4 linked regions of the Rhinolophus ferrumequinum genome follow. The protein of the gene in region 4 interacts with the protein of the main gene of each other region in a pairwise test. Links are inferred from orthologs where the notes say so. Each region holds a gene or a part of one and is shown on either strand. Other genes may lie near its edges.

Region 1 (8,111 bases), on a different chromosome or scaffold from region 4:
GGCAGCCCAGCATTTATTTCTCTAGTTCCAAAAGAACAGACCACCAAAGTAGTTTAGAAGAGAGTGAGTAGGGAATTAAAAAAAAAAAAAGCAAAGGAAAGGAAAGGAATTAAAAGAAAAAAACCTGATAACCAATCACACCTCTAAAATTGAAAGGCAACAATTGTAGAGAAATGAAGGAAGGGTAAATCCACAAGGAGGTCTTTCTAAGGAGAAAAGGGAAATAGCTAAGTACAAAGAGGTCACAGGGTACATTAAACACATAAAAAAAAAAAAACCCACTCATTAAATTTAAAGATCTGGTCCTGCAAGAGCAGTTTTTGTTACTAAAAGGCATACCATTTGTACTTTTTTTTTAATTCACAAAGATTTACAATATTACTTTGTTTTCTGGAAGTTTTTTCCTATTCTTTAATTTAAACAAATGTAAAAATTAAGATGTGTCATTTAAATGTGACCAAAATGTTCAGAATTCTGGGCCTATTTAATTTAATTTATTTAATTTCTTCAGTTTCTTTTGCAAGAAATGTTCCAGTCTGTTTTAACTCTTCAATAAAAAATTTATCATACTTCTCACCAGCATTATTTTTAACTACACTGGTTCTTACTTAACTGCACTATTTATTCAGCCTAATTATAATCAGCAGCTGCCACGGCAGCATATCCCAACTCACCTCCTTGGGACACACTATACTCCATGCACACTAACCACAATGGCCATTAAATGAGAGTTGCGGAATTCAAAAACAAAACAAAACAAAAACTGTAATTCTCACTGAATTGCTTTTATACACATAAAACAAGATATTAAAATATAATAAATATCAAGGGCAGGGCAGCTCAAAATAGGAGGAAAAGCATAAATGAGATAAGAAAACATACAATAATGAAAAGAGACCTACACAAAATATGGATTTGATTCAGGCTCCTACTTTAACTAGTTGTGAGTATTGGTCAAACCACTTAAATTTTGAAGTCTCGGTTTCCTCACCTGTAACATAAGGGTTTTGAAGTTGATCTCTAAGGTCTCCTTTAAAATTCTATGAAAATAAAACGAGAAACAATTTTTAAAATGAAAGTAAAATGAAGAGGTGCTAGAGATCGATGGATGTAGGGGGGATGTGTGTGTGTGTATTTAACACGTGTCCTTTCCTTCTCTCTTTTTCCCCATGTTCGTTACTTCTATAAATCACTACTCAGTATGAGCAGATAGCGGCTCTCCAAGCAAGGCTCACTTGCCAAAATCTTGTTTCTTCTTTCAAATAGCTTATGAAATCCTATGCAATCTATTCTTGAAGAACACAAACTGCTGATCACAGAGCTAAACTCCCTAAACCTGCTGTCTAAACTTCAAACCACAAATATCTTTTCTTGTTTCTACACCACAAAAGTACTTGCCCCGAATATAAACTTATTCAAGGCAGGACAGTTTAGTTTTATTGTAGAATCTATGTCATAAATTTGTCAGAGTAACAAAGCGATGAGAAAAAAATAAAGATATAGGGAACATAAATTTCTAGAAGTAAATGTATTTCATTAAAATTGTTTTAAAATATTTAGCAAAATAATTCCATGAAAAACATCATGAGTTAAGATATATATTTCATAGACTTTCAGTATTAATGACTTTGATGCATTGTCACAGGCCAGCTAAGGAATTAGCCTTAGTTTCTAAATTTGAATCAAGATGGAGGAAAAAAATAGATAGTTGCACATAGCAGTTGGTTAAGCAATGAACTATAAAATCATAAATTTGAATGACTAATTTCAATGTATTGTGATCAAAGAAAAGATCATCTCTTGGCAATTCAATGTTTTAATCAACACAAAAACACAATAAACATAAAGCATTCCTTATTAAACTGATCGTATATAATAAATTACAATGCATGTTTTAGCTTATCTAGAAGTTATTATCCAAAGATATTTTGTGGATGGAAGTATTTCAACTGTGTTGTTTTCGTAAGCATCTGTTTAAAATTTTGCAGATATCTAAGGGCCCAAAACAACTATAAATGAAGTATGTTAAGCTAATATGGAACCACAATTTAAAAGCCAAATTTACATTCTGAGAATTGACACAATCAGGCTGGTATTAAGCCTCTGATGTGTAAAAAACAAACTTGAATATTTTGCTAACAGATAAGGATTTACAACATCTTTCAAACCTGGAAACAGGCAATTTTACAGTGGGTCACAGCCAAATAGCGTCACTCACACACACACATACACACATACACACACACACACACACACACACACACACCCTCCCCCCAAAGTCTATACCTTTAATTTCTGATAAACTTACATGGTTCACTGACAAAAGCTGTGCTGGTAATGTGTATCCAGGTAATGCTGAAAAAGGTGGTACCTGCCACCTAGTAATGTTCAAAAACAGACATCCAAGACACATTTCTATTCTAAGATACACCTCACCCATCCCTATTTGATCTCATATCAACATACAGACTGCCACTGACCTGCATTCTTTCTATACTAGAAGGCTTTCCTCTACTCTTTCCTAACTTCTTTCCTCCTTAAGAGCTATCTTTGCATGTTTGTTTTGATACAATTTCAACCATATAAAATGACAATGGGTAAGGAATACACAATCTCCAGCTGTGATACGAGTATGTTCTGCTCACATAGACCCTAAAACACAAACATTCCTCTCACACACATCATTCCCTCAGGCAAAGTTTCTCAAGCAAAATAATAAGCCTTTCTTCAGATAATTAGATGGAAAAAAAAAACCTTTCCCGGGAGAGAGAGAGGCTTGAACAAGTTTGTTTATTTCTTTACAGTTTAGCATTTCTCTTTGTCTGGCTGCATTTGTCTTGACTGCTTTTTTGCTCAGTTTTCCTACCTATTAACTCCTAAAAGTTATCAGCCAGGGTATCTTTGTTAGCCTCTAAGATGGCTCCCAAAGATCCTTGCATATGGGATTTATGCCCTTGTGTTATCCTCTCTATGATTTTGGGTTGGACTTACCAACTCACTTCTAACAAATACAATATGGCAGTAGTGATGGAATACCACTTCTCAGATTGAGTTACAAAAGACCATACAGGGTTTTGGGTGCTCTCTTTTGGATTGCTCACCCCAAGGGAAGGCAGCTGCTATATTGTGAGGCAGCCCTATGGGGAAATCCATGAAGTGGAGAAGCTACGCCTGCCAACACCAGGTGAATGCATTTGAAATTGGATCCTTCTACCTCTCAGTGGAGTCTTCAGGTGAGATGTGAAGAGCCCCCAACCTGCAGCTTGACCATCAGTCAGAGGCACTCTGCTAAGTTGTGCCCGAATTTCTGACCCACAGAAATGTTGAGATAATATTTATTATTTTAAGATGCTAAACTTTGGGACAATTTGTTACTCAGCAATAGATAACTAATACAATATCTCATCAGACAAATTGTCAAGTTAACTGGATAAAAATGGGAAGCTTTCTACGCAACCTGGAAAATAGAATAAAATTTCTTCTTCGTTCTGTTCAATTTCGTAAACCATTTTCTTGGAGTGTGGGGAACCCTTCTACCTCAGAAATATGGTTAACAAACTCCAAACATTAAATGAAGAAAAGCTGAAATGGAAAACATAAATTAGCTTCAACTTGCAGTAATAAAGTTGAAGATATGATATATTGATTTGGAATGAAACACGTAGGATCCTTGAAAATAAAAATTCCATTTGTTAAAACAAGTAGACTCAATTATTAAATTACTAAATATATAAAGAACCTAAAAATAAAATAACAACAAAAAACTTAAATGACTGAGGATTAGGATTCATTTACGTAATTTCATACAATTAGTAATATTTAATTCCGTATCCACCATGTAAAAATACTAGAGCCCAGTCACAGAGAAACAAAGACAGAACAAATTACGAATTTGCCAAATTTATAACCAAAGTTTGACGACTGAAGCAACTGGCAATCCATCATGACCTTAACTGTATGTAAAGAACTGAAATCCATCGTGATCATAACTGAATGTAATGAACAACAACAAAAAAAACCCTCTACTTGAAAAGCAACACTTAGGCTAGAAGTAAGTCATCATTGCCGATTCTCGGCTTTATTTCAGAATGAAGCCGGGTCACTGCTTTTTGGGACGTGGGGTCCCAAACTGACCTGTACCCCAATGGCCTAGAAACACAAGGAACACACCTACTCCCGCCTCCTGACACCGATTCCTCATTCTAATAAGCCATCACCGCTGTCACTCAGGATGCTTTGCACTGTCATTGGCCCTAAAGTCTTGCTGGTGGGCAAGTTTCTGCCAACTGGCAAGCACCGGTTGTCTATTTCCAAGGAGAAAAGTAGGAGTGTACAGGGAAAAGAGGGAAGAGTTCTGAAATATTTCGCCGGACGCTCTTACCTGAACGACCTGCGATCCCCACCGCCGCCGCGACGAATCGGCCTCCGGGCGGGGGCTTTTAGCCAAAAAGAAAATGGCTCAGCCGGGAACTGGTGCCCAGGCCATGGATAAGTCGGTTTCAAACTTCACTTGTTCACGCCGGTGGAGCTGACAGCGGCGAGAATCCCTGAAGCAGCACTGGCGCCCTCCGAAGTCAGGGTACCTCAAAGGTGCAGCAGCCAGAGCTGCCGACTGTCGGAGTTTTGACGTTTCCTATTGTTGCCGGAAGTGACGTTCGGTATCTGAGCCTTAAAGAAAGAGCATTTTTATCCCTGTTGTTTACGATTCGCTATAGATTCCCAGTTTCTCACTTGGCAGCCCTAGCCACTCTGAGCATCAAAATTAGGCAAACTTCTAATCTGCAGCTTGACATCGAACTTGCCATCGAGAAGGGTCTTAGCCGAGTCAGTGTCCTCAGGAGTCTGGACGAATGCGGTGTGGAATCCGCAGCGAGGAATCGTGAAGCTCTGGGGAGCCGGCAGCTTTGACGAGCTTGCCGCGGTGCGTGGCGGGCTTCCACCCGCTGCTCCAAATACAAACCGTCGGCGCGAGAATCGCGCGGGGGCGCAGGCGTCGGGCCGCAGGAACTAGTTGCTGGAGGCTGGGCTCCTGTGGCCTCCTCTGGTTGCATATGCTACCTCCCCATCTCCCAGTTGTGTGGGGCCAGAGGCGTTCGGAGCCTGCTTCTGTGCTCGCCGGCTGCTGGGTGAGCCCGGGAGAGCTGCATCTTAGACTGGGCTGGGGTCTCCGTACCGAGACCCCGGGCGGGAGCTAAGGACCAGGTCTGCCTTTTCATCCTTTTAAATCAAGTGGAGGGAGGGGTGCCCTAGATATGGCTTGCCTATATACCCAACTGGTACATCCTTTTGTAACAACGAAGTAGGAAGAATTGTGGCAGCTCATCCTCCTTGATTAGGTTGTGATTTATGGTTGGGAAATTATAGACTGATTCCTCCTATGGGATCCTCTGAGCTGAGGAGAGATTCAGTTTCTCGGAAATATTGACTAGAAGGGAGAGATGAAAGTAGTGGATGTTTTCGTTTCTTGCATTTCCCTGGCGTTTCAGTATTTCTCCACTTTCCTAAAACTATTGATTTTTCCCTCATTATGAAAAAAAAATCAATCTTGACATTTTAATTCTGCAGTTATAGCTACACAAGACTTTTTCTAAAATTATCCACAAACCTTTTGACAGTTTTATGTGAACACAGTCCTACTGAACTCTGTACTTGTCCCTTATTCCCTTTGTTTTCTCCCCTAATTTTCTCAATGTTTTTCCTTTCCTAGACCTTTCTCCCTATCTCTTATAGCAGTATTTCCCAAATATCTTTTGCTGAAATTTTCATAAACGTAACTTTTCCTGATTTCTACTCCTCTCTTTATTTTCCATATAGTTTTAGATAATATCAAGAGTTATGAGCTTTGTCACAGACTCTTAGTCATCAACCACAGTAATGGTTACAGTCAGTGTAGTGGCTGGCTTCATTTTGAACAAAAATCACTTTTGAGTTCAATGGCATTTCTTTGGGAGGCATCATTTAATGACCTCTAACAGCGATGAAATTGAGCTAGATTAAAAATCTTAAACTGCGATTGTATACCATTTTCACAACATGATGGGTAATGAATTAAGGTGGGCACAGCTGACGTGTAGGGAGCGCTCTCTGGAGGAAGCAATATTGAGATCCTAATGATTAAATCCGTGCGACAAGCTGAGTAATATCTCCTTTCTTTTAATTTCCTTTGATAAGAGTTATAAAGTGAAAATTTTAATTGTTTAAGGTAACAAGTTACTTTTCATCTCTGAAACTGTTAACATGTGCATAAGCCATAGATTGTCTTCTTTTAATATCTTAATTTTAGTGTTTTTCATTTTTATAATAGACTTAGTTGTTAAAGCCTTTCATGAAAAATGTAGAACAGTAGGTGTAATTTTTTTCTATGATACTCACTTTTTTTATCCTTTATTTGTTCTGTCTTGGTTTATCACTTATCTCCTTCACCTACAGATCCAAGCTGTACTTGTGTATTACTCTTCTTCAAAATATTTATTCTACTCATACTGAAGAGTATGTGTCCCAGGGACATACTTTGTTGTCAGAAATTCCATTACCAGAGGCAGAAATAATATGAGATGTTGATATATGTTCTAGGACTTCAGAGAAAGGAAAGATGAAAAGATACATAAAGTATTAAAATTACATGTAGGGGAAAGATGGAATATACGACTGGAATGATTAAAGGAAATCTGTAGGAAGAGATACAATCTATATTAAAGTTATAGAATGTCTCAGTGGGAAAAGTACCCTAGAAAAATTGTATTAAGTTAGGTGGGTCTGGAACTTAAAACAAGCTTAGACCTGCTATACTAGCCAATGACAATACCTAAGAATATATATATTATATTTTGCGGTTACAGCCACATAAGTTCTCACTTCATCTTTCCCAGGAAAGGAAAGGCTGATATGGGAAGTCATCTCTTACTGCTTCCATATGTCCATCTATTCCCCAGTCATCCTAAACGATGTTAAATAAAGTTTACCTTTTTGGACAGTATTTTGTATAATGTGATTTTAGGATTACTTCCTTTTTTTCCTAGTTATCTCCCATTTGACAGTACCTGAAATTCCCTGTGCCTAAAAATGTAAACATGTAGTTGAAGTAATTGAAAGGCTGAAAAATACTGACTAAACCCATGCATGAGTGTGTATAAGCGTATATTCAATAACCTGCTCTTTACCATGTTGATAAAGGAGAGGACACTTGGAACAGGAAGATACTGTGTTCCCAAAGATGGGGAAAGGGTACAGAATTGGATGGCTAGGGACTTATCTAGAAAACTTACTAAATATAGGATTTTTTAAATTGCTAGCCTTATTACCTCTAGTTATGTACAGATAACAGAGGTGTGTAAGGAGATGATTTGTATCCTGGGCAACTGCTGGAAAGTTCAGGAGAGGGAAAAGATCATACTAATTCTACTTCACCTGATTTATGAATTGTTTTGTTTTTAATGTCAGTTACTTAATTTTAAAGGAGCCTCATTCCCAGAGGTTTCATTACTCAAAGTATATTATTTTCCTTTTATAAAGTGTCTATGAACAGTTACAAATAGATATTTTAAAGTGTGTTATTGATCTTTGCCTTACTGGTTGACTAGAAGTCTTTCATCTCTTAATTCTTAAGTATTTGTTTATGTATTTATTTATTGTATTAACCTCCTTAGGGAATAACCTTTTTTGAGAATTTAACAAAAGCACTATCCCGTGCAATAAAAAGTCATTTAAAAATATAATTCCATGGTATTACTTTCTTTGGGATTTAAAACAATGAACCATTTTATTTAAAATCTCAAATATTTTTTGTGTCTGTTGGTGCACACACATACACATTCTGTTATGTGTATTCTTTGGAGTTGTGTTTCTATCTCATAGACCCTATGTATGTCAGCTTTAGTAGATATCACCAGTAAATTTTCCAAAGTAATTGTACTAATTTACCCTTTCACAGCATTGTGTGTGTCGGATCTTCTACAGCCTCACATTTTCTATCTACTTTGTCATTTGCTAATAATTAATGAGATTGAGTATCTTTGCACATGTTTTCTTCTCTGTAAAATTCCTATTCAAGCCTTTCTCATTTTTCTGTTGAGTTGTCTTTCATTTTCTTATTGCTTTGTAGGAATTTCTTT
Region 2 (7,714 bases), on a different chromosome or scaffold from region 4:
CCTGTTGAACGCAAACGATTTCACAGAACACCACCAGATGGACCACTCTATGATTGTGACAGATCAAGATCAAAATGGAAACGCTCCTAAACACGTCTGAGCACAGAACATTATAAAATGACCAATGTCCCCCTTTCTTGGCTAATGTGAGTGACTGCTGTTTCTTTGTCAATTACACCTGATGCACTGTATACCTTTAGGGCCCATCTGTCCTTCTCCCCTTCTAAATAAAATAATTAAGATACCCAATTACAGAATTATCCCTGCTTCTGACATCACCTAATCCAGAGAGAGCCCCACTTCCTTGGACTCTCTTCAAATCACCTACAACAAGCCCAGGCCTTTCTAGCTTCCTCTTATTGAGCTGCCCCATAGCTCCCATGGCATGCCATCTCCCTAGGTGTAATGAGCTAACTGATCCGACTTTGACTAGATTGACCCTGGAGTTCTTTGGCTGGAGGGCATGAACACCACCTTCTGTTTGTCATACCTATGCATACTTTTTCGTTTTATTGCGGTAATATACCATGTTTCCCCGAAAATAAGACCTAGCTGGACCATCAGCTCCAATGCATCTTTTGGAGCAAAAATTAATATAAGACCCAGTCTTATTTTAACATAAGACCGGGTCATATAATATAATATAATATAATATAATATAATATAATATAATATAATACCGGTTCTTATTTTAATATAAGACCGGGTCTTATAATATAACATCATATAATACTGGTTCTTGTATTAATTTTTGCTTTGAAAGATACATTAGAGCTGATGGTCTGGCTAGGTCTTATTTTCGAGAAAACGTGGTATATAATACATAACATCAAATTTACCACGTTCAACCATTTTAAGTGCATAGTTAAATGGCATTGAGTACATCCTATGCATGTTTTTATACTTCTGCTATATAAGTATACAGTAAGTCTTCATTTAACATCATTGAAAGGTTCTTGGAAACTGCAACTTTGAGCAAAATGAACAAAACCAATTTTACCACAGGCTAATTGATTTAAACAAGACTTAAGTTCCTGCTGCATCTCATCAACATTATAATGAAATGATGTTGAAGAAAACAACGTTCTTTGAGGACCTGCTGTACTCGTATATCCAAAAATCAATATATGAGTATCCCAGTGATCAGCACATTTTAAACTTGAGAAAATGGTATCAAACTGATATTTTGCATCTTACATTTTTCTGGACCATATTATGCTCTGGTATTTTTTTTATATTCTCAAAGCAATGCTCAGTCAAAAAAAAAATAATAGAAGTATTTACAGTAAACAAAGAAAGCACTTCTGTCCATTCCTCTCCCCCACAACTCAATCTCTCTCCCAGGTAACAGACCAAGGTGTAACCTTTTAGGCTGTTCGATGCATACCTGAATACACACACACACACACACACACACACACACACACACACACACACACTTTTATCCAAATGATTTGGGTATTTGGATTGCTCTGCAACTTGCTTTGATTACTTACTACATTTTGGGCATCTTTCCTATCACACAGTTTGGTCATGTATACTGAGATCGGCCATATACTTTTTAATGGCTGCAAAGAATTGGGAAGAACTTTAAAATGAAGTCTGCCACATCTCTCTTTGCATTTTTCACTGGTCCCCACCCTACCTTTGTCTCCTGTTTTGGTGTAAATCTTGGGGATCTTGGGTGTCTTCAAGGAAGGCTGTGGCCTAATGAGAAAACAGACAGGAAGAGGTGGTGAACGGGGATGGCGTACACAGTGGGGCACCTCCTCCCATGGGTCCCAGCTTGCTGCTCATAGCTTCAGACGCAGCACCTACCCACCTCAGCTTCCATCTCTTGTTGCCATCTTTCCCCTCCATCTCTCTTAACTTTAAGCCCTTTGTGGGCAAGCTCTGTGTCCTTCCCACATCCATGTCTGCGGAGTCGCTGATGTAGTCCATCACTCAACGCAGAAGCTCAATAAATATTCGCTGAAAGAATTTACTGATCACTTTCCGTAGTCCCTGCACTGTGCTAAGTGGATTACCGGCATTATGTCCTGAAATTACCCCTGGAATCTTCTCACAGCCCCAAGGACACACACTATCTATGACCTTCATCTTACTGGTGAGGAGGCTGTAGTTCACAGGATGGGACTCTCCTTCCTAGGTCACCCAGGGAGGAAGAGGGAGGGCTGGGATTCCTGCCCAAGACCATCTTACTCCAGACCCCAAACTGTTGCTTCTGCCTTACCCAAACGCTTATCTTCTACCCCACCAAGTCAGGAAAAGAAAACTGGGCTACTTCCATTCTATGAAACTTCAAGTATACTCAGTAATAAAGAATTGCCAAAACAAGGTTCGAGAATTGGCATTTTCAAATAGCAACATAACACCTTTAATACAGGCTTCAACATGAAAATGTGACATTACGAAGTTATTCAAATGTTAAATTACTGGATCTATGAAATATATGACGCCATTATGAATTCATGGTACTTTACAGGTTCTGAGGTCTGGGAATGGGGTGCAAGTTTCAAGGTCTACGATGACAACCATCTTTAGATTATGTGGTGTATCTCTGTGTCTGAAAGTATAAACTGCTTTGGGGATAGGTCAAAATCGGAATTGCCCCTACCACCACCACTGTGAGGCCAGGCAAGCTGCCCTTTTGGCCCACATGGTTCATTCCCCGCCCTGTGGATGACAGCTGAGCTTCGATCCGACATGTGCAATGAAATCTTGGTCTCTGGCTCCCACGGTGCCCACACTGCCATAGTGACGTCAGGACTAAGAGAGGCTGTCACCTGGCGGTGCCGTGGTAACCTCACAGCAGTGTGACGTAACTATGGCGACAACACCACAATTCATGGCAGGTGTCCGAGTTACCTTCCCAGCCGGGCACTCACCCGTCCCCGTCTTCCACGCCCGGGGCCCCGCGGCTCTGGAAACGGGGACAAGGTAGCCTGCGGGAGCCGAGGCAACCGCGAAGGCCAAGGCGGCCTCCCAGGCCCCACACAGCCATGAGCCAGGCGGTTGTCGGCGTTGACCCCACCGGGCTCCAGTACAGGTCGCGGGGTGACTCCACCTACCACCAGCCGCACCACTCGTCAGCCACCATTTTCCATTGGTCTGTGGCTCTCGGCCCAGGGCGGGACACTCCCAGGAACTTATTTCCTATTGGTTCACGGAAGGAGCTGGGCGGGGAAACCCGTGACGACTTGGTTAGCTACACCTATTGGCCAATGTTCAAGCCAATTGGTAAAGGGACTTCCGGATCGCGCGCTCTGATTGGCTGGGAGAAAGGAAAGGTTTCCTCCCCACCCCGGGGCGCTCAGAGATGGAGTCCTGGAGCCGCTCGGTCTCCGGTGCTTAGGGTCTGCGGTGGCGGCAGGTGAGAGGCCGTGGTCGCGGGGTCGGGTGGCGCGAGGTCCTAGCTAAGACTCAGGACGACCCTAGGATGGGCGACTGGCTTCTCTGGCTTAGTTTCCCCAACTCTGAGAATCCATTCTGAGGTGAGGGATCGGTGACTTCGAATCTGACTTGATTTTGAGCTTCCGGCAAGCAATAGGTTTCCCTGCTGAGAAACGGGGATCACGATAGTACTTAACTCATAGTGAAGTTCAGTTCTTGTTATACTCAGGTAATTAATGCACATAAAGCCTTAAATGGAGGGTAATTTTGCATTATTTATAAAAATCTAAAACGCGCACACCCGTGGTCCCAGCAAGTGACTTTCTAGGACTCTGTTGTAGAGATCCTCCTTTACATGTGCAGAAAGAGGTGTAATAGCTGTTTTCTGCAACCTGTTTATAATTGTGACACATTGGAAATAGCCTCAATGTCCAGGAGAAAGTTCTTTTTTGGTCCACTATTTCACTTAAATCTCTCCCTTTCATAGTCGTAGTAATGAAAGCTGGAACCAAGAACAGAGCCAGTAATAAGCAGCTATCAGTAATCGAGTGATTATGATGTGCTAGACACTAAGTGTTTCCCTTGCATTATTTAACTTAACTTACCTAAACCTATTGAGGCAAGTACAGTTATTGTCCCCGTATAACATGTGAGAAAACAGGTTCATAGCCATTTCAGTGAATTAGTTAAGAGGACATCACCGGGGAGTAGAAGAGCTGGGGTTTGAACCCAGATCATTCTGATGTGTCTAGTTAACTGTAATAACTACTGCACTGCGCTGCCTTTTGAGCATGTAGCAAGTGCTAAGAGGTAGCTGCCTTTTTTGTTCTAACGATGAGCTTGGACTAAGTACTTTCTAAGATCTTTAAGATCTGGGGACCCTCCATCCTCCCTCTGACTTTCGCTTTCAGGAGTCCCAGGAGCCATGTTGTCAGAAGCCCTGATGGTGTCCGCTCCAGGGAAAGTCATCCTTCATGGAGAGCATGCTGTGGTCCACGGCAAGGTAAAAGGCCCCCAGAGCCTTCAAGGATTGGACACCACTCCTCCCTGTTCCTAATCTTAAAAGAAGACAAAAGAAAGCCTTGAGGCATAGCCTGGGAATAGATCAGAGGGGAGGTCAGTTTCTCCCCAGCCAGGCATCGGAAAGACAGGAGTTATGCCCACTGAAAGGCTTCTCTCGCCCACTCAATAAGAGGGCAAAAAGGGTGATAGGTTAGGCCCCACGAGTGGAATGAGATCACCTGGTAAGTGAGCTTCGGTGGAGAAGAAAAGAGGTTTGAGGACTGAATTCGGCGTCTTTCAGCATTTAGAAATTGGGAAGATGAGTAGGATTCAGCAAAGGAGTCTGAAACGTGCATCATCTCATTTCACTCGTACAACTACCCTCTGGGGTTCAACTTTTAATGCTGATTTACCGATGTGGTGGTTGAGCCTTAGAAGAGGATTGCTGACCTGACCAAGGTCCCTTACACCTTGCTAGAGCTAGTAGTAAACCTAAGTCTGTCTGAACCCAAAGCTCGTGCTTTTCCCATTCCTCATCTCTGTCATTCTTTATGTTCTTAACTTATATATATCTTTGAAAACATGGTGATTATGGGGAAGCTAGTCCTTGGTATTGGGAACCTCTGAAGTTTTGCGTAGGAAAAGTAAATGTAAGTAGATACTAACTCTTGATTGGTAGTGGTAGTGCGGAGGCTTAGTGGGAAAGTATGCCAAGGTTGGTCTGCCAAAGGCATGGGTCCAAGTGGCCTTTGTGCTAGCACAGTGACCTTGGCCCCTTTTCCCTAAGACAGGAGTCGTACTTGTTGCCACTCACCCTCAGGCTTATTGCTTTTGCCCTATGTTCTGTAGGTAGCACTGGCTGTGGCCTTGAACTTGAGAACATTCCTCCGGCTTCAACCCCACAACGGTGGGAAAGTGGGCCTCAACTTACCAAACATTGGCATCAAGCAAACATGGGATGTGGCCAGCCTTCAGCGACTGGACACGAGCTTTCTGGGTAAGTGCAGGGAGGAGGAACCAGGTATGGGAAGAGCGTGGGCCCTGAACGGAGGGGGAAAGATAATGGCTGGCTAGGTATTCCAAGCTGTCCTGAGGGTGCAAGAGGCCAGCCACTCTGGGGGTGTTTTCTCTCCGGACCGTGTACAAGTAGCTTCACTGATTTATTTATTTACGTATTTTTTAATTTCAAAGAGTAAAATGATGCACTAGGTCTTTGTGGGCTGTTGTAAACAGATTATTGAGGCTTACTGTTGAGTGAAAGAACACGAGATGCACAACAGCAGGAATGCTATGAGGAGGAATGGCACAGATTAAGTGTCAGTATGTATGTCAATGCATAGAAGATGGCTGGAAAGGTACACGTCCAGCTGACACTGTTGAGTGGTGAGTTACCTCTGGGGGTCTCCCAGGGGTCAGGAGTGGACAAAGGGAGCCTTCCTTCTGTGGTGTTATTTTCACAAGGGGAATGTATTGAGTTTTTGTGCAATTAAAAATCATTTAAAATAAAAGTAATTTATGCTTGTTGTTGGAAAATACAGTCAATACTGGAACATTGCAAGTAAAAAAAAAAAAAAACCAAAGCACTTCTTATTACCACCTGCCAGTCCCCACCCGCTTGACAGCTCTTAAGCATTTTGGTGTTAATCCTGCCGGATTATTATCTGTAGATAGATTGAGATAGGGAGAGATCTTGTTTTTTGACTAAAATTGGAACGGGCCATGTAACCTCGTCAGACATGGGTGGGTCTCTTTTTCTTCTCCAGTATATTGAAAGTGCCTTTCATACATAAAGACCTCCGTGCTCATTTTTGATAGCTTTGGGAATGTCGTGTCCACTCCTACGCAGGCAAGGTTTTTTAATCAGCGGAGTCCCCACCTGCATTAGAACTGGAGCGTGTGTTCTGTTCTCATTTGCTGTTTCCTCTCCGGACCAATGCCTCCTTGTTTGGAATGGTGTTTCTCAGTCAGCATGGGGCAAGTGGGACTCTTCCAGGGGTTTATCCCTAACTGTTCCCTGTCCCCCATAAGAAATCAGTCCACAACCAGCCACTCCCAAATACTGTAGGGAGATGGAGTATGTATGATGCAAGTCAAAGCCAGGCTTTTGATTGAGCTACGGTAGCATTCATTTGTGTATATGTGTGTTTTTAAACTAGTATTAATTAAGCACTTACTGCGTTCCCAGAGATGTGTTAAGGATTTATTTTACTTTATCTTCATGACAGTCTTGTCCCTATTTATCAAGGAGAGAAACTGAGGTTTAGAGCGGTTAAGTCACATGCTCAAGGCCACAAAGCCAGGCGGGGACACAGTTAGGACCCAAACCCGTCTACCTGCCTCCAAAACCTTAAGTGCACTGACAGGTTGTGGTGCTCGGACCACAAATCCTTGCCCATCCAGATTCCCATGGCTGCTCCGTTCTTTGCATTCTGTTGTCTATAAAACACCTGAGAGGTCCTCAACCATCTGTGTGTGCTTGTGTGACAGAGCAAGGGGACGTCACAGTGATCACCCCAGAGCAAATGGAGAAGCTGAAGGAGGTGGCGGGCGTCCGTGAAGACTGTGCCGACCACACACACCTGGCCGTGCTGGCCTTCCTTTACCTGTACCTGTCCATCTGCCGGAAGCAGAGGTGTGTGTGCGGTCTGGGGAAGGAGTCCTGGTTTCTCTAGTTTTGGCTCCAGGAGAACGCACGTGCTCCCTTCCAGGTTTCACAAGGTGGGACAACAGCCATTGGCTGTCCCACCATGTGCCAGGCACCGTGACAGATACGTTACATATGGTCTGCTTATAATATTCACAACAGCCCGATGAGAGAGGCACTGTCCGCATTTTTTGTAGGGAGAAACTGAGACTCAGAGAGTCACTGAAGGCCATGCAGCTAGTTAGGAAGTGGTGGAGCCGGGGGTCAGCTCAGTCCACTTTCACCCGCACGCTGGCATTCGTAACCCCACATTGCCTCCTCTGCCCTCTTCAGTTCAGTAGAACCCAAGCCAGATTCCATCCTTGGATTGGATCCACCGTGTGGCTTCTCCCATGCCATGTCCGTACCCAAGTTGCTCAAGAAGTCAACTGTATAATATTTCTAATCCTCCAGGAGTTTTCCAATCCTCCCTCACCCCCACCTTACCTCTTTTGGGTGCTAGTACCCAGCGTGTGGTGGAAAGCACCTGAGCCCAGATGTAGAGGGCAGTGGGCTAGATGAGACGTTGGGCCCACCTCTGCCGTCGACTCGCTGTGGGGCCTGTTCCCCATCCCACACGCACCAGGGAAATGCTGTGATTAGCAGAGTGAAGCCAGTGTCCACTCCACCCCTTAC
Region 3 (7,756 bases), on a different chromosome or scaffold from region 4:
CCACACCAGGCCAGACCTCTGGACCTGAGGGTGGCACCAGCGTTGGACAAGATACCTTATGCCAGGGAAAAGCTGAGGGACTCTACCCCAACCCACCAGACAGGTCCAGCTACCACAGCTGTGCAGGGGGGAGGCTGTTCCAGCAAAGCTGCCCCAGGAGTCTGGTGTTCAGCTCCCCCGGCAAATGCTGCACCTGGAGTGGAGTCCCCAAGGCCCCTTCAACCTCAGTGCCCAGGCTAGAGACTGGGATCCCACCACAGCCTGCCTCCCCAGCTCTCCCTGGGGGCTGCAGTATGCCCCATGCAGGCCTCCCTGTGGTCTTTCCATACCCAGGCTTTCAGCTCTCAGACCTGGGTTCCTTTTGGTCTGGTCCTCCTGGGCTGCCTCTCTTACATGCAAAATAAATCTTTGGTTTGAACCGCACTCTCCCAGATGTGGTGACTTACAGAGGCTCTCTAAGCACACTGGGAGTTCAAAAATGGCCCTGGGGAAGGTCGGGAGCCTGGCAGGGAGGGTGACATAAGGCAGCATAAGTAAGAGCCAAGCTAGAAGGCAGTTAATTCAGGTGTGCCAAGCCCAGTGCCAGGTTTCACCTCCAGGACTCTACATTCCAGCAGGCAGCCTCCAGGGCACAGATGACTGTACCTGGGGCATAGCCCTGGGTCTGACACCTTGGCTCAGAAGAAGACTTTCGAATGAAGAGCCTTTCATGACCTTTACTCAGGTGTTATTCCCTAGATGCACACAAGATGACAGCAAAGAATACCTTTTCCAGGTGACAAACAGGTGTCATTCTTAAACCTCACACAAGATGGCAGCAGAGAAGAGCGTTTGCTTGCTCATTATGCAAATCCAGGCCCCTGGGACTGAGCTCACTAAGAAATAAATCCAGTTCCAGGCCCTTCACAGGCCTCATCTCACCCACTGCTCCCATTTTCCAGATGCAGCAGAGACGATTACTATCTCCATTTCACAGATAGTTAAAATGAAGACTGATTCTAACACACACAGTTCAGAGTCCAGAACCGAGGCTGACATGGGCCCACATGGGCCAGCTTGCACACATGGGGTTCTGGACAGAGTGATCCAAATAGTCCTTGCAGTGTTGGGTGGAATCTCGGTCATTGTATTTGAAGAAAAGCAGATAACCTCATGGTCCCGCTTGCCATGCACTCACCTAGGCTGGTTTTGGAGTGGGACCAGGGCAGGCAGCTGGGGATGGGGACAGGTGGGGAGGGAGGTGGTGGCCTGGCCTTTCAGGGGAGGACAAGCAGCACCAGATCCCTGTGACAACGACTCCCCCAAAGCTGAGCGATGACTGTGCTCGGGCCTTTTAAAATCTCTTCCTCCTCAGCCCACGGCACAGCTCTGCTTCTCCCCCATATTCCCTTCCTCTGAGGTCACATCTGACAAGAGATTCCTGGCTGCTCAGAATGGAGTCTGGGAAAACAGTGCAGAGTCAGCCAAGGACACCCCAAGAGATCCCAAATCCATAGGCCATACACACAGTCATCAACTGTGGGCTGGCAGCAGCTCAGCACCCCACACCTTACATTATCCATCTATTTCTGTCTCTGACCTTCTCCTTCAATCTCTGTCAACATCCGTCTTTGTCTGATTTGATTCAAGATATTCATGAAACATCTGCTCTTGTCACTACCCTACAGTGACTCTTACAAGCCCCCAACGGACCTTACCTCATCCCTAGCTCAGGAAGCCTTAGCTACCCATGTTTCCTATCTTCCTACCTCTCCTGCATGTGGGGTCTCGGACTCTCCTGTGTGCAGGGTTCCCGTGTGTATGTATTAAATCTGCTTATATTCTCTTGCTAATCTGTCTCATGTCTATTTGATTATCAGATCAGCCAGAAGAAGCTTGAGGGTAGAGGAAAGTCTCTTCCTCCCCCACCTAAACAAGTAATCAGATATCTAATAAAAGGTGAAATTTGGGAGTATATCTACATCACTGCATCATGCAATAAGATTCAACAATTTAAATTACCTTATTCTCAGGACTGAGTGATTAGATCAATGAAATATGGGACAATCTACCAATTTAACTTCTGGATGTGAAACTTTTATTACAGTTTCAAAGGCGGGAAGAAGAGGACCAAAAGTTTTGCCTTTGGACACATTGACTTTAAGCTGATTGTTAAGAAACAAGACTAATAAAGAACCTTTGACCCTCCGCCTTTCCTGCCTAAGAGATTCAGATGGAGACCTGGTTTAGGAGGAGAACCTAGGCATAAACTCCTTAGCACAAGGCGGGAAGACACCCAGTGGAGACTGCTAAGGACCACAGATGCCTCCCTGGCAGGTCAGAGGAGAGGCCTAGGGCTGTCCTGAGACCTGACTATCTCCTGCTGCCCATTCGGATGGGACGAAGGATCCAGCCAGTCCTAGGAGGGCCCCACCAGCCCTTAGAAAGGCTGCACCTGGAGGCTGGCAGGTCGCTGTACCCAGTCCTGTGTAAATCCACACGTGTCTACTGAGTGCCCTCGTGTGTCATCACTGAGCTAGAATCTGGGGCTGCCCGGACATAGTGGAGACCCCACCAACCCTTCTGCAGTGGGAAGGAGGGTGGGGAACCTGCTAGACTGAGGTTGAGTTGGATTTGAAACAGTGACCAGAGTCACATTTCATTCTTCTATTAGCAGAACCCAGGACCGGGGAGCAGACAACTAATGGTCCATTCAACTAGACTCATGTGTGACATTGGGTACGTCCTGCCCTTCCTGGAAACCTCAGAGAGATGAAATGTGGAGGGGGAAGTGGGCCGGTGAGGCTTAAACCAAACCCTAACCCCGGCCCCATAACTTTAAACCTCTACCCCTAAATCCAAACAACCCTAACTCTGGGCCCTAGATGCTTGATACTGACCCTTAAACTCTAAACCCTGACCCTGACTGTGGCCCTAGCATTGACACTGATTCTTCACCCTCACTTTCACGATATCCCTAGCACACTAACCCTAACTCTACCACTATCCCTTACTGCAGTCTGTATCACAGGACTGGTTCTGGATTTGAGGGTCTTTGAAACTTCGGTGTGCTTATTTCCTGCTTAGGTCAGTTCATTTCCAGAAGAGCCACCATAGTCGGCAAGAGATGGTCTACTCTGCTGTGGTTTGGTCAGTAAGCCTGGCTTGGACTGCTAGGTCTTATGTGAGTGGCTGTGACATCAGGATGGTGAAAGCAAGCCAAGGATGTTTCAGCCACTAATCCTGTCTCCGAATCCTAACGATGAAAGGAGACTCTGAATCTGGCCTCTGACACCACTTCGCACTGACCCTTCCCCTGGCCCCAACTCAGACCCTTACTTTGACCCTTAATCCTAACACTGACTTTTTTCATAACATTATCTATATCATGGGAGGCATTGATTTGTAGAAGGCATATTAGCCTTGAGGTGACAATTCAAGCTTTGACTATTTGCAAGGGAGTCTTGGTAGAGGTGACGTTTGTAAAGGCTTGCGGTGAGTTTAAGCCTGTTTGTTTTGAGGAAGGCTGCTGGCTAGAGCAGAGTGAGTGAGGGGAAGCCCAGGCAGGTTGGCCATTGTCGGGCTGGAAAGAGGATCAAATGAAATAATCTTCCACCATGACCAGAATACGAACTGTCGCACAGGAAGCACCCATTAAATACATGTTCATTCTTGTTTATTATAAGTACTGCCAGTGTCCAGCAACAGAAAACTGAAGACTTGGCTCGTAGAGCAGGGCTCTGCACACGCAGTGCTCAAAACTGCTCCTTGTGGTTGGAATGTCTCAGAACTGGCTTTGTGTGCAGTGAACGGGCTGGACACTTCATCTGCACCACCTGCACCCAGATCCACCCGCCTGGGGCTGCCCCGGGCACTGTCTCCTCAGAAACCGGGATTCCTGGAGGCAGTGAGCCCGGCGACGGGGTAGGTGAGCAGAAGCCCATTTGAGCCTCGCGTCCACCTCGGGGCTCCACCTGCACAGCCCCGGGTGACCACCGTGCTGCATGGGCGGGGAAGGATCCTTCATCCACTACCAGCGGGGCATGCCTGCACCCCCTGCCCTCCCTGCAGAACCCCCCCCTCAGGCCACGCCTCCAGTGGGGACGTGTCCACGGGGAGACAGGGCCAGACTCGGGATCAAGCTCGGAGGGACGAGGGTCCCCGTCTACTCTTGCACTCTCCTCTGCATCCAACCAAGAAGATCCACCAAGATTAGTCAGGTGGGCTGACAACACACTTGGTCTTGCTCCAGAATGCCAGCCCGGAGTCGTCGCTGGCACGGGAAATAACTGATGTGTGCAGTGAGTAATAGAGGCAGAGATGGGAATCGAACTCGGCTCTCAAACGCACCTCAAAGTTGCACTTTTTGCAATGCCAGAGACGTCGAGTCAGGGTGGCCCTTCCAGAAGCCTGTATACTGTGCAGATCAGACTGTTCAACAGGCCGACGCAAGCCCGGAAGTAGGCACGCGGCCCTCGCTTCCTGTGCCCTGACTTTGGGTTACGGCAGCTTTAAGCATGCGCACTGGCGCTTGTCCAACCGTTACCTCCGCGCCTGCTCCGGAGGAATGCGGCGCACAGAGCACTGCACTGCGCAGGCGTGCGGGAGGACGCCCCGCCCCCGGCACGGGTTTAGTCCAATCCCAGCGGAGGAGCCCAACGCCAGTGCGTCAGCCGGTTGAGAGGAAATGGCGGCGAGGCCGGGGCCTTCGAGCTCGGAGCCCTCGGGAACCACGGACCGGGGAGAAAAGGCTGGAGGTAATCTGGGGCCCGGCGAGGGCCTGCTTCGGAACCGGAACCGGGCTGGTGTCAGGCCGGGGCGGGGCAGGGAGTGCGCGGGCGGCCTCTGTCTCCGTCAGAACGGTAGTGAGGAAAAAGGACCGTCGCCTTCTGAGGGAAAGTCGACTGTTCCCTCGAGTGGGGTCCTTACCCACATCCGCCTCCGACGTGTAACTCACGCCGTATTTGCCATGTTTGCTTCCCCTGCTTTCTGCTCAGACAGCTTAAAATTGTCACAGAACATCCTTTCGACCTGAATCTCCTCAAGCGTCTCTGAAACACGAAAGGCACGTTTTCCTGGGTCTGCCACACCTGAGGGAACGAATAAGTCCCCATTGTCCTCATCTCACACCTCTGAACTTCCCTGTTCTGACCAGTGGATTGTTTCCCCCCAAAACCAGACCGACTCCTCACACCGACCTGTTGAGGGATGGCTCCCACCTCCCCAAGCAAGGGGGGGACGTGCAGTTTATTTTAATTGTTTAAAAGTTCCCAATTACAGCCCAAAGAGGAAAAAAATTCTGTCCTAGCCATACCCACCCCTGTAAGGATTTGCTCGTGGATGTTTCAGGGGGGTTTTCTAACGCAGGCAAGTGGAGAGAATTGTACGAGGAACTCCTGTGTACCTGTCCCCGCGCTTGTTTTTGGTCCATCTGTCCGTCTTGATAAAGTGCTGCAATCAGCGGAGCCTCGGTAGTTCTCACAGTTCCGGGCTTCGTCTGCCGCCCTCGCTCTCCTCGCTGCCCTCACGTGGGGAAAGGGTGAGGGAGCTCAGTGCAGCCTCTTTGATGCGGGCACTGAGCCCATTCGTCAGGCTCCACCCTCGGCCTCGGCCCCCCACCTCCTAATCCCGTCACAGGGGTGAGGATTTCAACATGTGAATGGGGGGCTGAAAGGATTCACTCTGTAGCAACCAAGTGACACCATGGAGACAAGGACTTTCCCAGAGTGAATTGATAGGAAGATTAATAGGTAAAGGCTTTGCAGTAGCCCGTCTTGCAGAATTGTTTAGCATTTAAATTGCTTTTTCCTTTTTCAGTCACCTTCCTGGGGGATCACGGAAAACACAGCGATGCATGGACAGAGTACTCACTGGAGCCAGGATGGTGGTGGGAAAACACGGGGAGGGAATGGCCAGATCCGCATACACCCATTCACACAGGGAAACACACGTACAGTGGATTTATAACAGGAAGGAAAATAATTAAAATTCAGGCAAATCAATTTTTAAATTATCAGCTCTCTATACTGATAACAGCATGGTATGCAAAAAGGATATTTTTATGAAAGAAGCAAGATGGAAAAATTATATCTAGAGCACTGTATAGGTTGCAGAGAAAGTTCTCTGAAGGCTACTTTACTAACTGATGATTGAAGAAGGGATTTGGATTTTTTGAGGGGAAGGCATAAGTGAAGGAACATTTTTAATCTTATTGTTGGATTTTTCTAATAGGACTATAGTTACTATTTGTGGAACTTTAAAATTTAAAAGGAGGGCACATTTGTTAACTGTCATTAGAGAATCAGAGGTTAATATCTATTGTAATGTTCTGAGTTTTAATTGTTGTACTGCAGTTACTACATAGGAGAGTATCCTTGTACCTCAGAAGTTCACCTGGGGTATTATAGGGTAATGAAGCATTGTGTCTGCAACTCATTCTCAAGGGTTAGGAATATTAGCAAATGGGGAATCTGGGTGAAGGATATATAGGAGCTGTATGTCCTGTTTTTGCAACTGTTAAGTAAATTTGAAATTATTTCAAAAAGTCAAAAGTAGGGGGGCTTACACTATACAGGCTGTTTTGTGCCCTAGCTTTCTTGTTAATGAGATACAAGTTGGCTCATTTTACAGATATTTACTACTGTCCCGCTGTATGCCTTACCTTATGACAAGCACTAGATATGCAATAGGGAATCAAAACAGAGGTACAGGTCACTGGTCTGTTAATAATACTGGGGGGAAAAGTGGTTACCCCAACAAACTGTAAAAGTCATTTTTGACTCACCCAGGGAAATCTATTAACTTTTAAAGGATGCAACCTTATGCAGAAATGTACATGGTGAAAAGTAAACCTCTCCTGTCTTTCCAACCCCAGTCTCCAGAGGTAACTACTGTTGAAAATTTTTTGTGATTCTGGCAGGAAATAATCTAGACATGATATGCATATATTTGTAGACTGACAGGTATATCTTTCATCTCTTTTTGTAGCCATGTCGGATTCTGTACTACACCAGTTTACACTTTCTTTCCTTTTAAGCTATCTAGGATCTTTTTCCAGGTTAGTACATGTGTATTGACCCCCTTTTCACTGGCTACATAGTATTCTGTTACAGGGATGAATCATAAGTTCTCTACTGATGGGCATTGAGGTTGTTTGAGCATTCAGATTGTTTCACGCTTTTACAAAAATGACGGTGACATTGGTTAATAACATAACTTTCAAATATACAATTCTACAGTACATTATTTGTATATTGCATTCTGTGCTCACCACCCAAAGTCTAGTCTTCCTTCCTTCACCATATATTTGACCCCCTTTACCCTCTTTATCTTCTTCCCACCCCCTCCCCCTCCAGTCACCACCATATTGTTGTCTATGAGTTTGTTTATTTTGTTATTTTGTTTGTTGCTTTCTGTTTAATATCGCACATATAGGTGAAATCATACGGTTTTCAACTTTTCTGTATGACTTATTTTGCTTTGCCTGATACTCAAGATCCATCCATATTATCGCAAATGGCAATATTTCATTTCTTCTTATGGCTGAATCGTATTCCATTGTGTACCACATCTTATTTATCCAATCATCCATCAAAGGATACTTTGGTTGTTTCCATGTCTTGGCCACCATGAATAATGTTGCAGTGATCAAGGGGTATAGAGGTACACATATCTTTACAAATAAATGTTTTCAGATTTTTTGGGCAGATACCCAGAAGAGGGATTGCTGGGTTGTATGGTAATTCTATTCTCAATTTTTTGAGGAACCTCCATATTG
Region 4 (7,750 bases):
TTGGTACCATGATAAAGTCAATGCTGGTTTTCATAAATAATTCACAAGTCAACGTGGCTGATTTTAATAGAATTATAAAGATGCCATCATGTGTGGTAGTTTCAGCTAATTGTTTAACACAGAATTTCATGAAATCTTCCTCCTAACAGGTCATTCAAATTTGCAGAGATATGGGTGTTGTCAGCCGGTTCCATAGCTTCTGAAGAACAAGCCCAAACAAAGGGGATTGAGGAAAGGCAACTGGGGGCATGAGGGAGCCTGGAGGGGGCCTCCAGAGCTCATTCTGATCTGGTGTGACCCTTCATTAGTGATCTAGCCTTAAACAACACCTGCAATGCACACACAGTGCTCACCAGGGAGGGAAATGCAAATGCCTGTGAGAACTCAATCATTGTGTACAAAAGGAACCAAGAGGGCAGCTAGCTGGGACAGGAAATAACATCGATGGCTTGCAAGTGAATGCGCTGGAGGGAAATAGATCAGAAAACACAAATATTTAATGTGAGGAAGAAAAACTGGAAATCAATAAGACCTGGAAAGACCTAAGGGAGATAAGGAACAGTGAGTCACAGGCATTCGCAATGTAATTGAGAAGCCCCAATGCCTGGCCGGATTGGGAGCTAGGAGGCCAGCGGCACTTTCTGAAGTCACAGAGCTGCTGAGGCAATTCCCTTCTGAAACAGAGGGACTCGTCCCAGAGTAAAGCAGTATGTGGCAGACACATGCAGGGAGCTCCGGGCACGCAGTTAAGATGCAGGGAGAGGAAGGGCTATCTCCTAAAAGCAAGAGAAGCAGAGGACTAAGACCTGACCTGGCCCGGCCACGTGGCATATGCCCATCTTCCGATATAACAGAGAGAGTGGGTGTTGGCCTGGGTTCAAGCCCCCAACTCCAGCTCTGCCATTACCAGTGGGGTTCCCGGGTTCCCAGTTCCCGTACTTACAGTGTCCACCTCGCACTTGCATGGCCCGACACATGATGAAAGCAGTGTTCAACCAATAGTCCTGCTTCCCTCATCAACCACATCAGTCCTTTCCCCCAAGCCCTGGTCGTGACGCTGTTCTCATAATCTAAACTTATAGACACCCACACCACTCCCCCAGCGCCCCTGCCCAAAGCATCCTGGCTGGTGTCTGAAACCTGCTGCATGACTTGTGTCCCGGTGGCAGATGCACCCGTGAGGCCACATCTGCCCACGTGGGGCACACGTGCCTAGGCAGCAGGTATCCTCTCATCCCGTGCCCTCCTAGACCCCAGCAGCTGCACCAGGACCTGCAGTACAGGCCCCAGAACACGCTCGAAGCTCCTTAAACCACTCCCCAGTTCTGCTCCTTGCTCTCCTGCAGGGGCTGTTTCTGGGAGGAGGCAGGGAGCTGCACTAGGTGTAGATGGAAGACTTCCAGATCCCTCCATCACGTGACCATTGCTTCATACCCTCTTCCCATCCCCACCCCAACCCATCCTCGGGTTGACACCCTCTCCCAGTCCCTTAGCAAAGCAAAGATTGACTTCTCTGGGCTGAGAACGACCCAACCATAGGGAGAGTAGTGGACAATGGAATTACAGACGTGTTTTATGTGGAAAGAATCGGACCTCAGCCAGGGCTCCTACAGCGGCAGAAACCCTGCGGGCAAGCCATCCTGATGGTCAGGAGAAAGTGAGCGTATGTTCTAAGCTTTAGGAGCTGAAACAGAGAAGTGTCTGTTCATTACAGCGTCATAAGGATATGCGAAAACAAATAGCCAGAATGCTCTGTGTCCTATATTTTTTCCTCCTGCTGAACACAGTTGCCTAGATTGTTACAATTACCTCCACCTATAGAAAGAATGCTGGAGGTTTTCTTTCTAATCGTGTCCTTCTGAAAATCCTTAAGAAAGAGAGAGCTTTAGGTGATCAATCCTGTCCCTACACGTCCCCGGACAGAGCTTTCACATAGTTACCTCTGCACTGGACTCCTCCACTCTACATTTCACCCTTTTTGGTTGCAGTGCCATGGTCTTCCAACTGGGCCTTAGGTGACTCTGGAGAAGCAAGGCTGCCCCCTTTGTGACATAGCAGCGGTAGAAACAATGCAATCAGGAGAACCCCACCAGGGCTCAGTGGGGGAGACCTGAGAATCTCCACCTGTCAACACTGCATCCATTCATTGGCCTCCGTTCTGAATCCCTCGTGCCCACCCCCTTACGCTCTGTATATTTGGTATACAGCTGGCCTTAATTCTCTGACACCTCCAAATGGCCCTGTCTGTACTCCTTGGTCTGTATTAGGTTTTCTCCTCATGGATTCAGTCATATGCATTTGATTCCAAGGCCAGTTGTAATTCTCCTCTAGAAATCCAGCGTGATTGCACAACTACCAGAAGATCTAATTTCGAGATGATTGGCGTATTTCAGAGTGTCATAGAAACTTCATGTGTTAGGGCTGGATGGTCTTACCAGACCACCTAACTCACTCTCCTCATTCGAGGGATGAGGGACCCAAGGCCCAGAGTGGCTAAGTGTCCTCTGCCAGGCACAGAGCTGGTTGGCAGCTGCCCCACAACTAGAATTGAGGTCCTGAGGACTCTGCTCGTTCAACAACATCTTTTGCTCGAGTTTTGAAAGAAGAGGGTTATTGTGGCTAAAACGAGTAGATTACATTCTTCTGTGATTATCCCTACCTGAGGTAGAACCACATTGATTGGAATTTCTAGGCTTTCAGATCTGGTATCTCTTTTTCTTCTACAATGTGGCCTTGAGAGCTGTGGAAAAAAGAAAATAAGACATCTGCTCCCCAGCCCTTCCTCCGGGCCACAACTGCTCATCTGAAAAACAGAGGACTTCCGACTCACTTATCCCCTCGTCAATTATGTACATCATGAAAATCGGAGTCTCAAAGAACGGGAAGATCGTGTCTGACAAGAGGCTGTAGCGATGTCTGAACATAAGTTAAGACAGGTATTATAACCGGTTTCAGAGCCTTCCGAAAGCCTTTGGAGCAGACATACTTACACCTATTATTACCTTTTCTAAGATTCTTATTTCTGTCTCAAGCAAAAAGTCATACCAACGTTAGGTGCCAGGTATAGGTCCTGTGCAGAAGTTGGTCACCAAAACACTCAGAACATTCCAGAGGTGACATCACAAAACAATATGGCAGTGTTCAGGGCTCATGGTCTCTCTCTGAGCATCTCAGGCGGGAATGAGGCCTCTGATGGTCAGGAAGAGCTTACCTTGGTGTGACATGGCTGGTCCAGGTCAGTGTGACACACAGTAGCCCTAACACTAGCTTCCTGTTTGGTCATCTTGACTGCTATTCACATCTCCTCTGCCAGGCTGGGCTGAGATCCCTATCTTCTCTCCAGAGATGGCATCTTCTCCTTGGAGTTGGATCACTTAAGAAGGAAAAAATGCAAACTGAACTCACTCCAGACCAAGAGAAGAAATTCAGTGTGAGACGTTTTTTGACACAACCAATTCTCCAATTCTTTGACACCAGTTGGACATCTTGCAATTCAGCTCAACCTTAACACAATCGCCCTGGAGTTGGTGTTGGGTCCCATATGTGAACGGCTCAGTCCCACAAGACCGGCCCCGCTTCAGATGCCTGTCACAAGTCCTGGGCCACTGGTACTTCTACCTGGCTGTATCAGGGGTTCTCATAACGCCCTCCTCGGGTTTGATAACTTGATAGAATAGCTCACAGAACTCAAAAAACACTTTACTTACACCTGCAGTTTTATTATAAAGGAACAGCCAAGTGGAAGAGATGCTTAGGGCAAGATATTGGATGGGGTGGGAGAACACAGAGCTTCCATATCTTCTTGGCACGCCATCCTCCCACCAACCCAGAAGCTCTCCAAACCATTGTTCAGGGCTTTTTAATGTAGTTTTCATTACATGGTTGTGCTTGATTAAATCAGTGGTCTTTGGTGATTGAACATTTCCAGCGCAGACGTGCAGGGGTGCAGACTGAAAGTTCCAACCCTCTAAGCACGTAGTTGATTCCTCTGGCAACCAGCCCACATCCTAAAGCTGCCAAGGGGGCCCCACCAAGAATCACCTCGTTGGCATAAACTCAGGTGTGCTCCAGAGGGGCTCCGTGTGAATAATAAAAGATACATCTATCACTCAGGAAGTGGTAAAGGTTTTAGGAGCTCCGTGTCAGGAACTACAAACAAAGGCCAAATATATATTCTTATTTTACCTCATGTAGAAACTGCATCAAGACCACAGTGCTAACATCCGGGCTTTGCGAAGGGGGCAGCGCAGCCCCCTGCCTCAATTCTGTCCAGTCACTTGCCTCTAGAGGCTGTTAGTGGGAGCCCTCTCATGTGTCTTCAGCCTCTTTAGACAGAGAGCTCCCGTGCCACGTTATTATGCCACACACCGGGGAGGGTGGTAGGCCAGCGTCTGAGACCCAGGGACACCTAAGCGCCCAACGGCTCTCCCACAGCCCACATACAAGCGAGTGTCGCTTTAAGAAAATCCAATACACAGTAATTCAAAGCTATACATGTGGAAAAGACCAAGAAAGTGATCAATCACATTATCAAAGAATTCTTCATTGTAAATGGGAACTTCTCCAAGGGTTTCCTTTTTTAATTTTATTTTTTAATTGTGGTTGAAACACATAACATGAAAAATGACCATCTTAATCATTTTTAAGTATACAGTTCAGTAGTTTTAAGGACTTTCACAAAGCTGTGCAACAGGTTTCCAGAACCTTTTCATCCGGCAAAACCGAACTTCTATGTCCATTAAACACTTAAGTCCCCTCCCCACCTCCCCCAGCCCTTGGCAACCACCTTTCTATTTCCGATTTCTATGATTCTGACTACTTTAGAGACTCCTGAGTAGAATCATACAGTATTTGTCCTTTTGTGACGGGCTTAATGGCTTCGCATCATAGCCACAAGATACTCCATATTGGAGCATGTGACACAGCATCCTTTTTTAAAGCTGTACAGTATTCCCTTGTATTTATATACCACGTTTTATTTATCCGTTCATCCACTAATGAACATTTGGGGGTGTTTCCACCTGTTGGCTACTGTGAATGATCCTGCCATGAACACGGGTATGTAAATATCTCTTCGAGAACCTGCTTTGAATTCTTTGGGATAAATACCCAGAAGAGGGATTGCTGGATCATATGTAGTTTTATTTTTAACTTTTTGAGGACCTCCATACCGTTTTCCACAGCCAGTGCACCATCGTTTAACGTTCCCACCAGCAACACACAAGGGTTCCAAGTTTTCCTCATCCTGTCAACACTTGGCATTTCCTGTTTCTCCACGGGTTTCTTTAAGCGGTTAACTCTCGTACTGTCTGAAAACACAATTCAATTTTCCCTTATACACAGATCTCATGGAAACACCTGCACATCCACCTGTGAGGCTGAGCTAGGAAGACTCAACCGCGAAGGAGGTAGCTGAACTAGAGCTGCCCAAACAAAGGACCACAAAACGAATGCTATGACAAACTACCAGAGACTGGAGGGCTTCCACAAGACATTTATTTCTTACCATTCTGGAGGCTGGACATCCAAGGTCAAAGGGCCAGAAGACTTGTTTCCTGATGAGACCCACTTCCTGGCTTGCAGATGGCCACCTTCTCACTGTGTCCTCACATGGTGGAGAGAGAGTGTGAGTTCGGGTCTCTGTTCGTCTTTTCTAAGGACACTAATCCCATCCAGAAGCCTTCATCTAAACATGATTGTCTCCCAAAGGCCAAACCTCCAAATGCCATCACATTGGGGACGAGGGCTCCAACATATGCATTCAGTCCTTAACGCGATGTGACTTGGGCAAGTCACCCCACCTCTCAGAAGCTGTTTCCTCGTCTCCAAAATGAAGAAATTAAATCTAATTCGAGACGACTTAGCAAGCTCTCAGTAAATAATCATTGCGTTGGCGCCCTCGTACAAAATTGCCTTGCTCCCTTTGCCTTGCAGTCTCAAGCAGCGGACTCACACACACTGGTGCCCTATTAAAAAGGCTTGATGTCACAGCTGGTGGGAGGGCTCGTCTGTGTGCCTGCTGTGTGATTCATCCGCTTTTTGTTTTTAAGGGAGGAGCGCTTTGAGCTGGGCCATCCTGGAACTGGCATCTTCCCACTAGCTGGGTCCCTTCCTCCTCTACAGGATACACGCATCCATTACTCGGTACTGAAAAGCTTCCTTGAGAGTGCACCCCAAATGTCTGCTATTATTCAGAGTAACGCCATCATCAATCATCCATGTTTCGTGAGCATCCACAATTGGAGGGCACTACACAGAGCTCGGAGGTGGACACGCCTGGTGGGTTTCTCATCTAAACAGACAGGTAGAGCAGAGATGAAGGAAAGGGCAAGCATGCATCTCAGACTCCCCAGGCTTTCCTCACCTGCAACTGTCTGGTGATGAATCACAGGGAAACATTCAACAAGCGGGAGGGCCCATCAGAGAGCACGGGGCCTCCTGCCCTGCCCCAGGGAGTCACAGGAACTGCAGCTCTTGGTCCAGGAGTCAGACGTGGGCATGGTGGGGTATGTTCTGACCTTTCTCTCCTTCTCACTGGTGAAAGGATGGGAAGTTGTGTGGATGTAGTAAATTATCACAATGTTTGTCATCTGCAAATTATATGATGTGTTTGGGAACATTTGTTATTTTTGCTGCTTAGGGCAGAGGGTAGCTTTATGCTGGAACCAGAGTACCAACCCAAGGACAGCCAGGCTGTGAGCCAAGCTGCCTTCGGGACAGGCCAGGGGTCACCTCCTGAGGAAGCATAAGGCAGCAGCCAGAAAGAGCAAGAGAGGCTGCCGCTGAGTCCATCCAGCAAAAAATAAGATCAACTGCTGGAAAAGTCTGAGCAGGAAGAAAGTAAATAGAAGAGCAGCTACCAGGGGCACTGTTGAAGTGAATGGTTGTTACGCTAGAAGAATCACCCATATTTGTGGGGATGTTGAAGGAACCAACAGAGGGGGATGGTGCAGAAAGTAGGGCAGTTGGCACTTTCAGATTCCTGAGATAACCAGGGTGGTAAACGCTTCTTGGTGAAGTCAGAAAGGAGACCAGGTGCAAGATAGGTCCCCAAAAGCAACATCGAAACTTGGGGGCCTCTAGAAACATCCTTACAAATTTCCCTCCTCAATCAGGAGCCACTAGAAATCCCACCACCATAGTTCTGACATTTTCCTAAAATCAGTTCATTTGTTTACTCGATCCAAGAGTAAGGCTCTATAAAGACTATGATTTCACTGATGTGTGGAATATAAAAACACAAAAGTAACAAACCAAATGAAAACAAACAAGTAGATACAGACAACAGAATGGTGGTTACCAGAGGCTAAGGGGGATGGGGGAGGGTGAATTGGGTCAAGGGGATCAAATATTTGGAGACAGATAAAAACTAGACTTCAGGTGATGAGCACACAATAGAGTACACAGATATCGAATTATAACGTTATGCATGTGAAATTTACATGATGTCATTAACCAGTGCTGCCTCTCTCAAGTTTTATTTTAAAAGACATACAACAGAAAAGACTTTCAGTCTCTAAGAAATTCTCTTTTATTTTGGAAAAAAATCAAAAGAGGCGACTGCGTGTTCTCTGGCCCCACTCTGAGACCATACTGGCCCGTTGTCGCAGGCAGGCAGGAGTGGGAGTGGGGTCGCTGAGTGACACCACTCCCACTCCAACATTCTCAACCAACAGGCAAAAGGCAAGGCTTTGTTTATTAGCATGACTCTAATCATGATTTATGTGATTCTGTACATTTCAATCGAAGC

What was found.
Region 1: the proteins of CBY2 (region 4) and CEP44 interact in binary tests that used the Homo sapiens proteins (3 or more experiments, as listed by UniProt). The two-hybrid records come from large-scale screens. The link is inferred for Rhinolophus ferrumequinum from reciprocal best matches to the Homo sapiens genes CBY2 and CEP44.
Region 2: the proteins of CBY2 (region 4) and MMAB interact in binary tests that used the Homo sapiens proteins (3 or more experiments, as listed by UniProt). The two-hybrid records come from large-scale screens. The link is inferred for Rhinolophus ferrumequinum from reciprocal best matches to the Homo sapiens genes CBY2 and MMAB.
Region 3: the proteins of CBY2 (region 4) and SYCE1 interact in binary tests that used the Homo sapiens proteins (3 or more experiments, as listed by UniProt). The two-hybrid records come from large-scale screens. The link is inferred for Rhinolophus ferrumequinum from reciprocal best matches to the Homo sapiens genes CBY2 and SYCE1.

What each region holds. Positions count from the first base shown.
Region 1 is NC_046301.1:32,522,547-32,530,657, reverse strand, and holds the start of CEP44 (centrosomal protein of 44 kDa), read left to right. Parts: upstream 1-5,005; 5' UTR 5,006-5,126; exon of another isoform or gene 5,127-5,227; intron 5,228-8,111. UniProt on the Homo sapiens protein: Centriole-enriched microtubule-binding protein involved in centriole biogenesis. In collaboration with CEP295 and POC1B, is required for the centriole-to-centrosome conversion by ensuring the formation of bona fide centriole wall.
Region 2 is NC_046308.1:14,029,911-14,037,624, reverse strand, and holds the start of MMAB (corrinoid adenosyltransferase MMAB), read right to left. Parts: upstream 3,028-7,714; 5' UTR 3,005-3,027; coding exon of another isoform or gene 2,889-3,004; intron 1,972-2,888; 5' UTR 1,942-1,971; coding exon 1,823-1,941; intron 1,708-1,822; coding exon 1,646-1,707; intron 1-1,645. Other genes in the region: MVK (mevalonate kinase), read left to right, coding at 4,319-4,396, 5,245-5,392, 6,883-7,027. UniProt on the Homo sapiens protein: Converts cob(I)alamin to adenosylcobalamin (adenosylcob(III)alamin), a coenzyme for methylmalonyl-CoA mutase, therefore participates in the final step of the vitamin B12 conversion.
Region 3 is NC_046299.1:32,073-39,828, forward strand, and holds the start of SYCE1 (synaptonemal complex central element protein 1), read left to right. Parts: upstream 1-4,647; 5' UTR 4,648-4,666; coding exon 4,667-4,736; intron 4,737-7,756. UniProt on the Homo sapiens protein: Major component of the transverse central element of synaptonemal complexes (SCS), formed between homologous chromosomes during meiotic prophase. Requires SYCP1 in order to be incorporated into the central element.
Region 4 is NC_046287.1:5,395,166-5,402,915, forward strand, and holds the start of CBY2 (protein chibby homolog 2), read right to left. Parts: upstream 3,121-7,750; coding exon 3,046-3,120; intron 2,741-3,045; coding exon 2,660-2,740; intron 1-2,659.